Xenopus tropicalis: one gene and its partners. The protein of the gene in region 1 interacts with the protein of each later gene in a pairwise test. Links are inferred from orthologs where the notes say so. Each region holds a gene or a part of one and is shown in the gene's direction. Other genes may lie near its edges.

Region 1 (3,754 bases):
GGTTTATATGTCCTTTAACTCAATTTTTACATACAGGGAATGCCACAAGTGGAAGGAGAGAACAGGAACTGGAACACCAGTGTAAGGAACTAAATAAAAAAATCTCTGAGATGGAGGTGAGTGTGTATGGTGTGCCATATTTTTTCTAATAGCTATGTAATAAGTGAGACCCAGAAATGTTTTGTTCCTCCCTAGCGTTTCCTTGGTGATTATGGACTGGTCTGGGTTGGGGAAAACAATGCAGATGTCTCACCTGAATCCACTGCCAGAACATGGAGCCCAGGTAATTGTAGATTATAACATTGCCACTGTAAACAATCTCCTTGGAAGCAGCGGTTCATAGCAGGCTATGAGAAGCTTCTATCTGTTATTCGGATATCACTGGAGTATGGAGTAGGGTCAGCCCTGAAAACTTCTGTTTAAACAGTGTAAATTCAGTGTATTAAGGGCTAAACTACATGGGAAGTAGTTTTCTAATGCTACAGTATCATTGATCAGATAAGTAGACAAGCCTGTACTCAGCGTTGCCAGGCAAATAGAACTCCTAATGGTTATTAATGCTAAGGTAATTAGAGCCAGGGACCTTAAATAATGAAGAAGTGAAATGTTTGCATACACCACAATTACTATTTTCTTTAATCCTAGGTTCTAGTATTTGAAATAAATGTCACTAGGCATTAACTTTTCCATATTATTGAAAAACCATGTTATAACACACCGATTGACAATAACTAAAAATATTGCTTCTCTGTATATTTACTAGGGATGCACCAAACCTATATTTCAGTTCCTTGGGTACGAATTTGGCTAAATACCGAACCAAGCCCAGAGCAGAAGCAGAAAATGCAGGGGAAGGCATGCTGCAAATATTTTTCAATACTTAGGGCTCAGATTCAGCTAGGCGGTTGGATTCGGCCATGTCATGCTAAAAATGGCTCCGATTTAGCTGAATCCCAAACTAAATCTGGGATTCGGCCCATCTCTAATATTTTTTACATGCTTTAAGTAGGAGTTCCACCTATTGTCAGGAATCAGTCCCTATAGCTTTAGCACTAGTGGTGTTTTCACTTTACACTTTTATTAAATAAATGGGTAATATGAGACTTTTAAAAATAGTTGTATTTATAGTAATATTTTTTTAATCTCCATAGGACCTTCTTCACCTACTTCTTTCCTACCAGACTTTGATCTAGTCCTGGAAAATTTAAGAGATTTGAATGTACTTGGAGGTGAGGGAGAATCGCATATTGAGTATCAAAAGGGAGGGGCCCGTTTGAGAGCACCCGAGTCTGTCCCATTGACTTTGTATAAAAACGGGATTATTATGTTCCAAGGGCCCTTTCGATCCTACAAGGAAAAATCCACACAGGTGAGGAAAACAGAAACAGTGGTATGTCAGATGGGAAAGAAGTTATTTTCCCTGAAATAATTTGTCCTTCATTGTGTTACAGCTATGTATAAGAGATATCATGGATGGCTATTTTCCCTCTGAACTGCAGGCCCGGTTTCCTAATGGAGTCACATTTCAGGTAAGAGAATTGCTGAAGAATACAGTCTACGCATGTAGGTGAAAAGGACTCTTGAAAAGTATCTTTGCCTTGCAGGTTACAGACAACCGCAATGTAATTTTCCAAGAGCAGCGGCGATGGGATGATTTTCCTGGTTCTGGTCAGACTATTGGGAGCTCAGGAAGTAATTTACAAACTAACAAAAAACCAGGTAAGGGCTCTCTTTAAAAATAAGGCAAGCCCTTAAGGGTTTATAGAACATTTTCATTGTAAATTCTGCCCACCAACAGGACCACAGCTTTCCACTGACCAGTTCTTGAATAGACTGCCTAAATCTGTAATTCGTGGGGGTAGAATTGTGCATGTACGAAGTGCTGTAAGAGAAGCTCTGCAGGTTTGTACATGACCATGGGAACGGAGGGTTTGGTGGAGCATCTTCAGACAGTTAGCTCTTGTTGTTTTTCTAAGGGGTCAGAAGAAAATGAGATGCCAAAAGAAATCTTAGTGGAATCTCCACAGCTATCAAAAGAGCAGAGGTACGGATAGTAAAATGTATTCCATAGGGTTAAAGGGGGGTAGTCATTACATAATATCTTTGCTGTTTTTGTTTTTAATATTTTTTTTATTAAATATAGTGTTTTCCTTTGTCTCATAAATCCAGTTGTCACAGTTATATTTATTCAAAGTCCAGCGTTTTTTATTGATGTCCTTCAGTTAAGCTTTCTTTCTCAAGCCAAGAATAAAACAGCTTTATTATTATTATTATTAATGTATTTTCACAAAAAGGTGTGTTGCTGTACATGGGCCCATAAAAGTTATCCCCATCAGCCCTAAGACTTTGGGTAGCCACATGGGGCTCCATCCTTTCTATAATGGCACAATTGTAAACAATGTAAAGAACACTGTTGGAATGTTGCTTTTGGCGAGTTTTAAAGGAATAGTTTAGTGTAAAAATGAAACTGGGTAAAATAGATAAACTGTGCAAAATAAAATAATAGTTTCAATATAGTTAGTTAGCCAAAGGTGAAATCTATAAAGGCTGGAGTGGGCAGATGTCTAACATAACAGCCAGAACTCTACTTCCTCCTTTACAGCTCTCTAAGCTATTATCAGTCAGTAGCCAATCAGTGATTTTGGGGGGGGGGGGGGGGGGCACATGGGACACAACTATTCAGTTAGTTTGTGAGTGCACAGGTCAGATTCAAAAGCAAACTAACTGAACAGTTATGTCCCATGTGGCCTCCCTAAAGTCACTGACTAACTAAGAGCTGAAAGCAGGAAATAGTGTTCTGGCTATTATGTTAGACATCTGCTCAATCCTGCCATTATAGATTATATTTTTCCATAACTATGTTAATATTATTTTTTATTTTGCGCAGTCTATTTTACCCAGTTTAATTTTTACACTGAACTGTTCCTTTAAGACAGTGTTGCCATCTCTCTCTCTCTCCTGATGTAGGATCACAACTATACAACAAGATTTAAAGAATATAAATATTTGTATTTGTTTTAGCACACAAGACAACATGGTAGTGTCAACTTTAAGGATCAGGTCTGAGTCTGGTGATAAAACATATAAAGTGCGAATGTTGTCTTCAGAAACCCTTGCCGACTTGCGAAATTACTTGTCCTCGTGCCGGTATGTGTTTTTTGTTTTTTTAAAATCCTATAACATATTTAGTCTGTTTATTTCTCATTCCTTATTATATATTTTGTAAGCAGGGCACCTGATCTCTCCTCCTACAACATTATCACCCCTTTCCCTTACTGTGTGTATGAAGATGATACATGTACCTTGGAAGAGGTTGGCCTCGTCCCCAATGCTTTTCTAGTTCTCAGAGCAAGAAGTGAGGAGGAACAAAAAAAGCAATCAGTCTGAGGAAAAAAGAAAGAATTTCATTTATGAATCTAAAGAACAGAAGAAACAAAGGGGCGGTGATCTTTTATCTCTTCCTGATGACTGTTCAACTTGAACTTTACAACATGCACTTTTATATGGTATAATTCTACAACTATACATGACCATAAAGGAACAATAAACTAATACTAACAGTTCTTTATCAGTATGCAGATTAAATTATGTTCTACTGTGAGTAAAACTTGATAGCTGGGAGGCAGATTTTGCCACTGAAAAGTCACCTGTTAGAAAATACATCTGCTAAAGCTATCCCATATAGTTGGGAGGTCATTTTTAACACTATTAACACAAGAAACATTCTTAACACAACAAGAAACATTCCCCTAAG
Region 2 (3,654 bases), on another chromosome or scaffold:
CGTGTTTACGTAGGTCTCCCATTTTTTGTCAGTCTGGCCGTCATCAGAAGCATGTGGAGGGGTTAGTGTTCCTGTAAGACTTACTTTGTGTCCTAGATACCCCAGCGCTCCAGCCACTCTGCCATCATGCATGGGTGTCATGGGTGTCACGCCTATTTTAGGTTTCTAGACATTCCATCCTTGCTTGGTTATTGAGTTGGTTTCCTTCTTTTATACTGGCTGTTATTTTTATGATCCTTTCTGGTTTTTACTCCTGCCTGTTTTGACTCTGTTTGCTGCTTGAGCTTCTGCCTGATTTTCTACCCTCAATCCTGTTCTGCCTGCCCTGACGTTTGGCCTGGTACTAGTACCTAGTACTATTCTAGACTTTACCAGCCTCTCTCCATCCACTGGCATTGTTGGACTGGCCCACTAGAGTATTGGGAAAATCCCAGTGGGCACCAACCTGTTGGGCCCTTCCAGCTGCCCACAAGCCTGTCACTGCCACTCCCTGCTCTGCTATGCTGCTTGCTTTGCTGTGAAATATAAAAAATGACTGCGCATTCCACCGTGAAAAGCATGGCCATCTTTAATTTGTAACAGCAAAGTAAGTAGTGCTGAAGTGGTGGGGGAGAGTGGGGATAGAGAAAAGAGGTGGCTGGGTGGTGGGCACTTTGGTGATAGGGACTGTGGCTCATTTTCTATGGCCGCTCTTCCTCTACTTTAGTAGGGCCAACTGCATCCTGAAAAATGCAATGCATGTAAAAATTTAATTTGTGGTTCAAAGCTCAACTGTCTTTAGATCCTGTTTTGCTTCATTTATATTAAAGCCCTCTTTATGTGTGGTTTTACGCAGGAGCTACTAAACCTCTTTCTATTGCCTACTTGCCCACTTCCCTGCATCCATTCCTATCTTGCTCAGACTCCTAGTCCACAACCTTCTTTCAATCTCTCTTGTATCATTTCCTCTTTACTACAGTAGATTCTTAAAAAGTGATCATTCTTGTTTATAATTTTTCATATTAAGGATTCATCGCCGTCTCCAGTTTTTGTATAATCTTGAAATTTTAAGAGCATTTTTCCCCCAAAATGTGTCTTTATCCTTCTTTAGCTTTCTGCTCTGTTGATCTCCTCATTAATTCACAACTCTCCAGATGTTTGCAGCAAAGCCATTTTATAATTTTATCATACCTAACTAGTTTCTATAGTACTGTATCTGGCATTTGACTATGATCTTTACCTATGTGCTACCTCTGTAAATGTATATGCTTATATACTATTCCCGTACTGTATATATTCTCCAATTTTACAAAAAATCTATGCCTGGTCTTAGTATCTTAAAGAAAGGAAACAAAACCCAACCATATAAAAAAGAGCACGCAGACCTTGCTTAATTTACAACAAAGGTTCAAACTGGACAAGTAACCCATCCTTAACCCCAACCTGCCCATCCCCTAACTCAGTGCTGTCCAACTTCTACGGTGCCGAGGGCCGGAATTTCTCTAGCATACATGGTGGAGGGCCACTAATGGAAGCCAGTTTTGACCACTCCCCTTTTTGAAACCACACCCACTTCAAACCACACCTATTTTATCACAATGGTGGTAGCACAGCAAAATCCCAAATGCTTGGTCCTTACTGTGGGGATATCAACCATCATTCATATGTGAAAGAATTATGTCATATTAAGATATACCCTTAAATTCCATATGCCTCCTCCTCCCCTGTGGATAGCACAGCAACCCCCAGTACATAATTACACACCTTAGGGACCATTTAATGGCTATTTCCAACTGCTAACAAACTCCCACAACAAACCCCTGCCAGGTTCACCTCCCACAAGCAGCATAGGGCAAGCAGAGTATGGCACACAAAGGCAGCATTCTGCCTGCCCTATGCTGTCTGTGTGTGCCATACTCTGCCTGTCCTACCCTGCCTGTGTGTGCCATACTCTGCCTTCCCTATGCTGCTTCTGTGTGCCATACTTTGCCTGCCCTACCCTGCCTGTGTGTGCCATACTCTGCCTGCCCTACCCTGACTGTGTGTGCCATACTCTGCCTGCCCTACCCTTCCTGTGTGTGCCATACCCTCCCTGACCTATGCTGCCTGTGTGTGCCATTCTCTACCTGCCCTATGCTGGCTGTATGTGCCATACTCTGCCTACATTACCTATGTCTGAGGTGTGAAGAAGTGAACAATGGGAGTGATTACAGTCTGAGCCTGAGGTGTGAACACTGCAGGGGGTGAACAATGCAGGTATTAAAAGGTGTGAAAAACACAGGGGATTACATTTTTAAACAATACAGAGGGATTACAGCCTGAATCTGAGGTGAGAACCATGCAGGGGGCCAGTTAATCTCAGTACTGATACCATTTAATGCTTACTCAAGGTAAAACATCAAAGCAGCCAGACAGGTGGGGGGCCACACAGGGGGGGGGGCGCATGCGGCCCGCGGGCCGCCAGTTGGACAGCACTGCCCTAACTAATGTGTTATTCAGACATTTGTGTGTTCCCTTGTAGGTTACACTGCAGTTTATGGATTACAATTACAAAGAAGATCTAAGCAGTTATATAAGAATACCCTAGACACAAGTACTTATTGAATGAGGCCTAAGTGGCTCCTAATGCTCTAGCCCCCTAGCAGAGTTCACAGCTTGGCTTCAACAGAGCAAACTCTGACTGTTTTTCTGTTAATGGAGTTTTTTTTAATGTACCTATTCATTAGCAATTGAGTACCTGACTAGAGAGAGTAATTAGTAATTTTTGGCAAGTTTTTAAGTTATTAGCAACATTGCAAATAACAGGCCAGCCCTTGCGATGCTCTTTTATGCCAGCTGTACTATCCGTCAGCTGCTGGAGTGATAGAAACGTTACCTGCAAAAACGTTTGTTACTTAGCTTGGTTAAACACATATCCTTATCTAACGCATAGCCTTTATCTATTTTATTTTCTAGTTAGAATACTTCATAATTCAAACTCTGAACACAAAGACTTCTGCAAAATGCAAAAAAAAGAAGAATAATCAGGTCCTTAAAGTTAAACCCCCTAATCTTGAACAGCCAGGTAAGTTCACTCCATCAGGTTATCCTATTTCTCCCTATATGTGAACAAGACTGCCATGAGAAATCACAGGGCTGTGTACAAGATAATGATTCGGACCCCCTCCCAAGAGCTAGAAACCAAAACACAAAGTAGTAGCATTACTGACATATTGTACTCCGAAAGAACATGCTGCCCCAGCCCTGTGGAAGTGACAAGTAACTGTAGGAACAGCATATGTGGAGTTAGGGAGTATGTGGGGTAGGAACATAATGGAATATGTGTGGGTAGGGGAAAAGGGCTCGCACATGCTCTCCCCTACAGTGACTCTTTCATGCATTCCACCATAAGTAACACATCTGTTAACTGATGCAGTCCCCTTGCAGTAGAATTTATGAAAGAGTCACTGTAGGGGAACGGACATGGCAGATACATGACAGTCACATAGCAATCGCCAATGATGTCACCAAATGGGTCCTGGCTGCTTTCTTCACAGGGTTATGTGAGTATATTGTAGGTGGCCTCTGACCACTATTGGTACTTGGGGCTACCTCAAGTCACAAAAGCTACATGGGGGCACAGGAAACTAGTTAAGTTTGCCCTGCCACACATGTGCCATTTTTCCCTGCTCACAC
Region 3 (3,654 bases), on another chromosome or scaffold:
ACAGAGGTACGCCCACAGACCATCTGTTTGTGCATGTACTTATGGATGTCTAATATAAATAATCTTCAATTCTATGTTATAGATAGGCGGAACAAATACATCAACATAATCATTCAAGCAAGGGCAGATTATTATTAAGATTATCAATATGACTGTGGCCTACTTAAGGCCTGTGCCCAGTTTCACTCTCACATTTACCAGGTATCAGTCCTTAACTGGAAAGAAGAGAAATACATTTAGGAATTTCAATTAAAGGGGATGTTTATCTTTTTGCAAAGTCCTAACAGAGTGGTCAAGCTTTTCAAAAAAAAAAAAAAAACTGTACGCACTATAATTGTTTTTTGTTTTTTTTTAAAGTGATACAAAAGCCTATATATTGTATGAATGCTTCAAATATCTGCTTATTTGGATTCTGTCCATTCTCTGGTACTTAATTTAACACTGTTAGCCAACCAGATCAATGTGCAAAGGAATGACCATGGCCAGGCATGTACAATAGCACTAAATCCCTCTCTAGCTGAACTGGTGCACTTTGTCCCCTCCTGCTGCCAGTCTCTCCATCTGCACCAAACCTGAATTGTGTAATAAAAGTCATGGAAACACCACAGCAGTTTTTATCTCTAATAAAAACAAATTCACCTTAACTTTAACCTAGCCAGTAAGTTTGAGTTAGTAAAAATGTAGTCATTTGTAAGTATCAAGACTTTATGGTAGTATCTTACCAACTCTGTTCATTTTACCCATGCTTACAGTTAAAACACATTCGATCTAGACTAAGAGTTTTAATTCTTAATATGTTTGTGATTCAGGGATATGGTTATTAAGTAAAAAGAAATCGTTTTCTATATTGAATGCACAGGAAGACATCATATCTATTTGGAACAAAACTGCAAGTGATCAGGCAACCACTGCTCGTATTCGAGACACATTGCGGCGAGTCCTGAATTTGCCTCCCAACACTGTTATGGAATACAAAACGCACACAGACAGCATCAAGTATGTAGTTCTCAGCTTGTAAATCATGATGAAAAAATACATTTCAATTTTGATGGGCTAAACTATACTAAGGAATGCATTAAGAATAACTGTAGCTTATTGCTTCCCAAATTTACATATATGGGAAATTCAGTTTGTTTCAAGGGCCAGATTATATTAAAAATTACACAGGGAACTTTATGAAACTCTTTGAGGGCCACGTCCAACTCAAGAGGCTTCGGCTGGACTGCTTGGTATAGCTTCCTTCTTCAGCATAGGAGAAAGGCTCAGAACTGGATTGCTCAAAATTGTAAAATGTTAAATAATGTTAAAATAATCAAAAAATTTAAACTCTCAAGAAAAAGATACATGGTATGAAAGTTTGCATACAAAGTAAAGCTTGTCAATTCATTTACAACCTAATTGTATGTTTACATTGTTTCAGCAATCCATTGTTACTAGTTAGAGTAGTTTAGAATTATCAGCTGTTTATTGTTCCCTGTTCATTTTTAAAACTGCCATTATTCTTGATCAGTCAGATTCATCATACAAAGATTTAAAAGTTGCTTATATGTTTTTGGTCCCAGGTGCTGGCATATAATAAAAATTTGTCCTTATTTTATGTCACTTTTAACCAGTCATCAGAATAAAGTTCAAAGACATCCAGTTCCAGGATAAGTCATAACCGATAAAGAAAGTCTGACCAGTCAGCCACGCAGGATAGAGTACTCTGCTCAGTGGGAAATTAGGGTTGCCAGTTTCATGTCATGCAGAACAACCCATGTTGCAAAAAGCGTTTCTTCTGTACAACAGTACCTCTTTTAGAGGTTACTATAAATATAGATACCCCCACCTGAATATGGTATCCCTATCCAGCTGCACTAGAAAAACTGTTTTTTTGCATATTATGTGTTTAATCATTGTTAATGCTGAGGTCTGAGGTCTTTAGCCTGAGGTCTTGCAGCGGATCCTGATAGGCTACAAACTTAGGTTACTAAAAGAGAGGTTACAGATGCTTGCTTATGAAGGTCAGTTCTTAGGATAATGACAAATGGTGCATTTTGCTTCCCGCACCATTTCTAGCTTAGGTCGGTACACCCATTCAGGTTATCATCACTCAGAATGTGACATTGCTCATTTGCAAATTAATCACATGCCTAGTGGGCTACCAATGAGCTTGAAGTAGCTTGTGTGGCAAAACTCTGTGCGCTATTACCACTAGAGTGCTCTGTAGCTGTCCTACCAATACCTTTGAGGTATATAGCTAAAACTTGGGTTGCTCAGATCCCAGGGTAGGGATTCACACAGTGGGCTACACTAAAACACACATGGCATCTTTAAGATGGGAAAGGGCAAGGAGCCTTAAACAGTTTCCAAATCATTGAACAACACAAGGTTGACGTTTCCTCTACTGGCACTGGAGGGAAAAGTAATTCTTCATTTGTGTAATCTTTGGACCAAATGTAAAATTAATTAGTTAAAGGAGAACTGCAGCCATGCTAAAACCATAGGCACCCTCCAGAGGACAGCCTCCTCACTCCTGATCTGCACTACAGGATAGTCCCATTACAGTTTTGTTTGCTGTACTTGGTTATAAAAAGCAGAGGGGTTGGCGAGTGGCATCTTACGCCGTGTGATATTTTCTTCTCAGCAATCACTGAAGAAGAACATGCTCCTGGTGTGATCAGCAGCCCCACTGCACTACTTTTTTTATTTGTTTTGTATTTCTCTCTTGACTCAAGAGAGGTGGCTGTTGGACTGTAAACGAAAGAAATCCTTAGCCTTCAGTGCATTCTCCAGCTATAGTTTAGCAAGCCGTTACTTCTAATAAATGTCTATCAGTCCCAGTTAGTCTTATTTTTTAGATTAAAGTAAAGTAAAGTGCTATTTTTTTTTTTTCTTGTTTTTTGTTCTTATTTCTGGTTGCCCAGGGCCTGGGAAGAATTTCACGGCCTGGTGAACAACAGCGGCCGCTGAATGATTTCTCCCCCTCTCCCTGCATCCCACACCCAGCGGTAGGGCCTTTTTTAAAAACAATTCTTCCAAATAGTCACACATATGAAATGAGTGTTCCATTTTTTTGAAAGTATTTCCAGAAATGATCATTTTATGTGTGTTTGAATGTTTGCTTACAGCAAATAAAGTGGAGATGTATCCATGCACTGCCCCCTTAGCTATGCCAGGCCCACATTAGAGAGTTATTGAACAAAGCAGCATACTATGGTTTGTTTGCCATGTGCATGAGTTAATGGCTGTTTTTTTTATTTGCAGGGACAAAACAAGCTTCAGAAATACCAAAATTGCTTTGTGAACACAAGGATCTACTCCTGCTTTGCTGACCTGCTTTCAGTTTGAGTATTCTCAGTTTTAAGCACCACCATGTAGCTTTATGGCCGGTGGCCCAACGGTTCTTGGGAAAAATTCTATACAGCTTCAAATCTAGCTGGGATTGGGTCGAACTGTCTTTTTGTTGTTTTTGTTTTTTTTTAAGCCTGTTATCTACATCAATCCTCTTTCCAAGACCTATCCACTACAGCTGCATCCCTCACGGGAGGAAAAAGCATTGTACATTATTTTTGGAATCTGTTTTATTTCTTGGTTTTATTTCATTTTTAAATGATGGAAGAAGATTGGCATTGAACTTTTCTTTTGTATGTAGAGTCCTCTTCAGCACTGATG

Evidence for each region. The genes of interacting proteins can lie anywhere in the genome.
Region 2: the proteins of ubxn11 (region 1) and rhobtb3 interact in binary tests that used the Homo sapiens proteins (3 or more experiments, as listed by UniProt). The two-hybrid records come from large-scale screens. The link is inferred for Xenopus tropicalis from reciprocal best matches to the Homo sapiens genes UBXN11 and RHOBTB3.
Region 3: the proteins of ubxn11 (region 1) and eukaryotic translation initiation factor 4E type 2 interact in binary tests that used the Homo sapiens proteins (3 or more experiments, as listed by UniProt). The two-hybrid records come from large-scale screens. The link is inferred for Xenopus tropicalis from reciprocal best matches to the Homo sapiens genes UBXN11 and EIF4E2.

Annotation. Positions count from the first base shown.
Region 1 is NC_030678.2:77,353,667-77,357,420, reverse strand, and holds the end of ubxn11 (UBX domain-containing protein 11), read left to right. Parts: intron 1-36; coding exon 37-116; intron 117-195; coding exon 196-283; intron 284-1,151; coding exon 1,152-1,369; intron 1,370-1,451; coding exon 1,452-1,529; intron 1,530-1,604; coding exon 1,605-1,719; intron 1,720-1,798; coding exon 1,799-1,902; intron 1,903-1,976; coding exon 1,977-2,044; intron 2,045-3,021; coding exon 3,022-3,147; intron 3,148-3,230; coding exon 3,231-3,387; 3' UTR 3,388-3,568; downstream 3,569-3,754. UniProt on the Homo sapiens protein: May be involved in the reorganization of actin cytoskeleton mediated by RND1, RND2 and RND3. Promotes RHOA activation mediated by GNA12 and GNA13.
Region 2 is NC_030677.2:177,118,570-177,122,223, reverse strand, and holds part of rhobtb3 (rho-related BTB domain-containing protein 3), read left to right. Parts: intron 1-2,934; coding exon 2,935-3,043; intron 3,044-3,654. UniProt on the Homo sapiens protein: Rab9-regulated ATPase required for endosome to Golgi transport. Involved in transport vesicle docking at the Golgi complex, possibly by participating in release M6PRBP1/TIP47 from vesicles to permit their efficient docking and fusion at the Golgi.
Region 3 is NC_030681.2:101,897,712-101,901,365, reverse strand, and holds part of eukaryotic translation initiation factor 4E type 2, read left to right. Parts: intron 1-859; coding exon 860-996; intron 997-3,246; coding exon 3,247-3,286; coding exon of another isoform or gene 3,287-3,330; 3' UTR 3,331-3,654. UniProt on the Homo sapiens protein: Recognizes and binds the 7-methylguanosine-containing mRNA cap during an early step in the initiation. Acts as a repressor of translation initiation.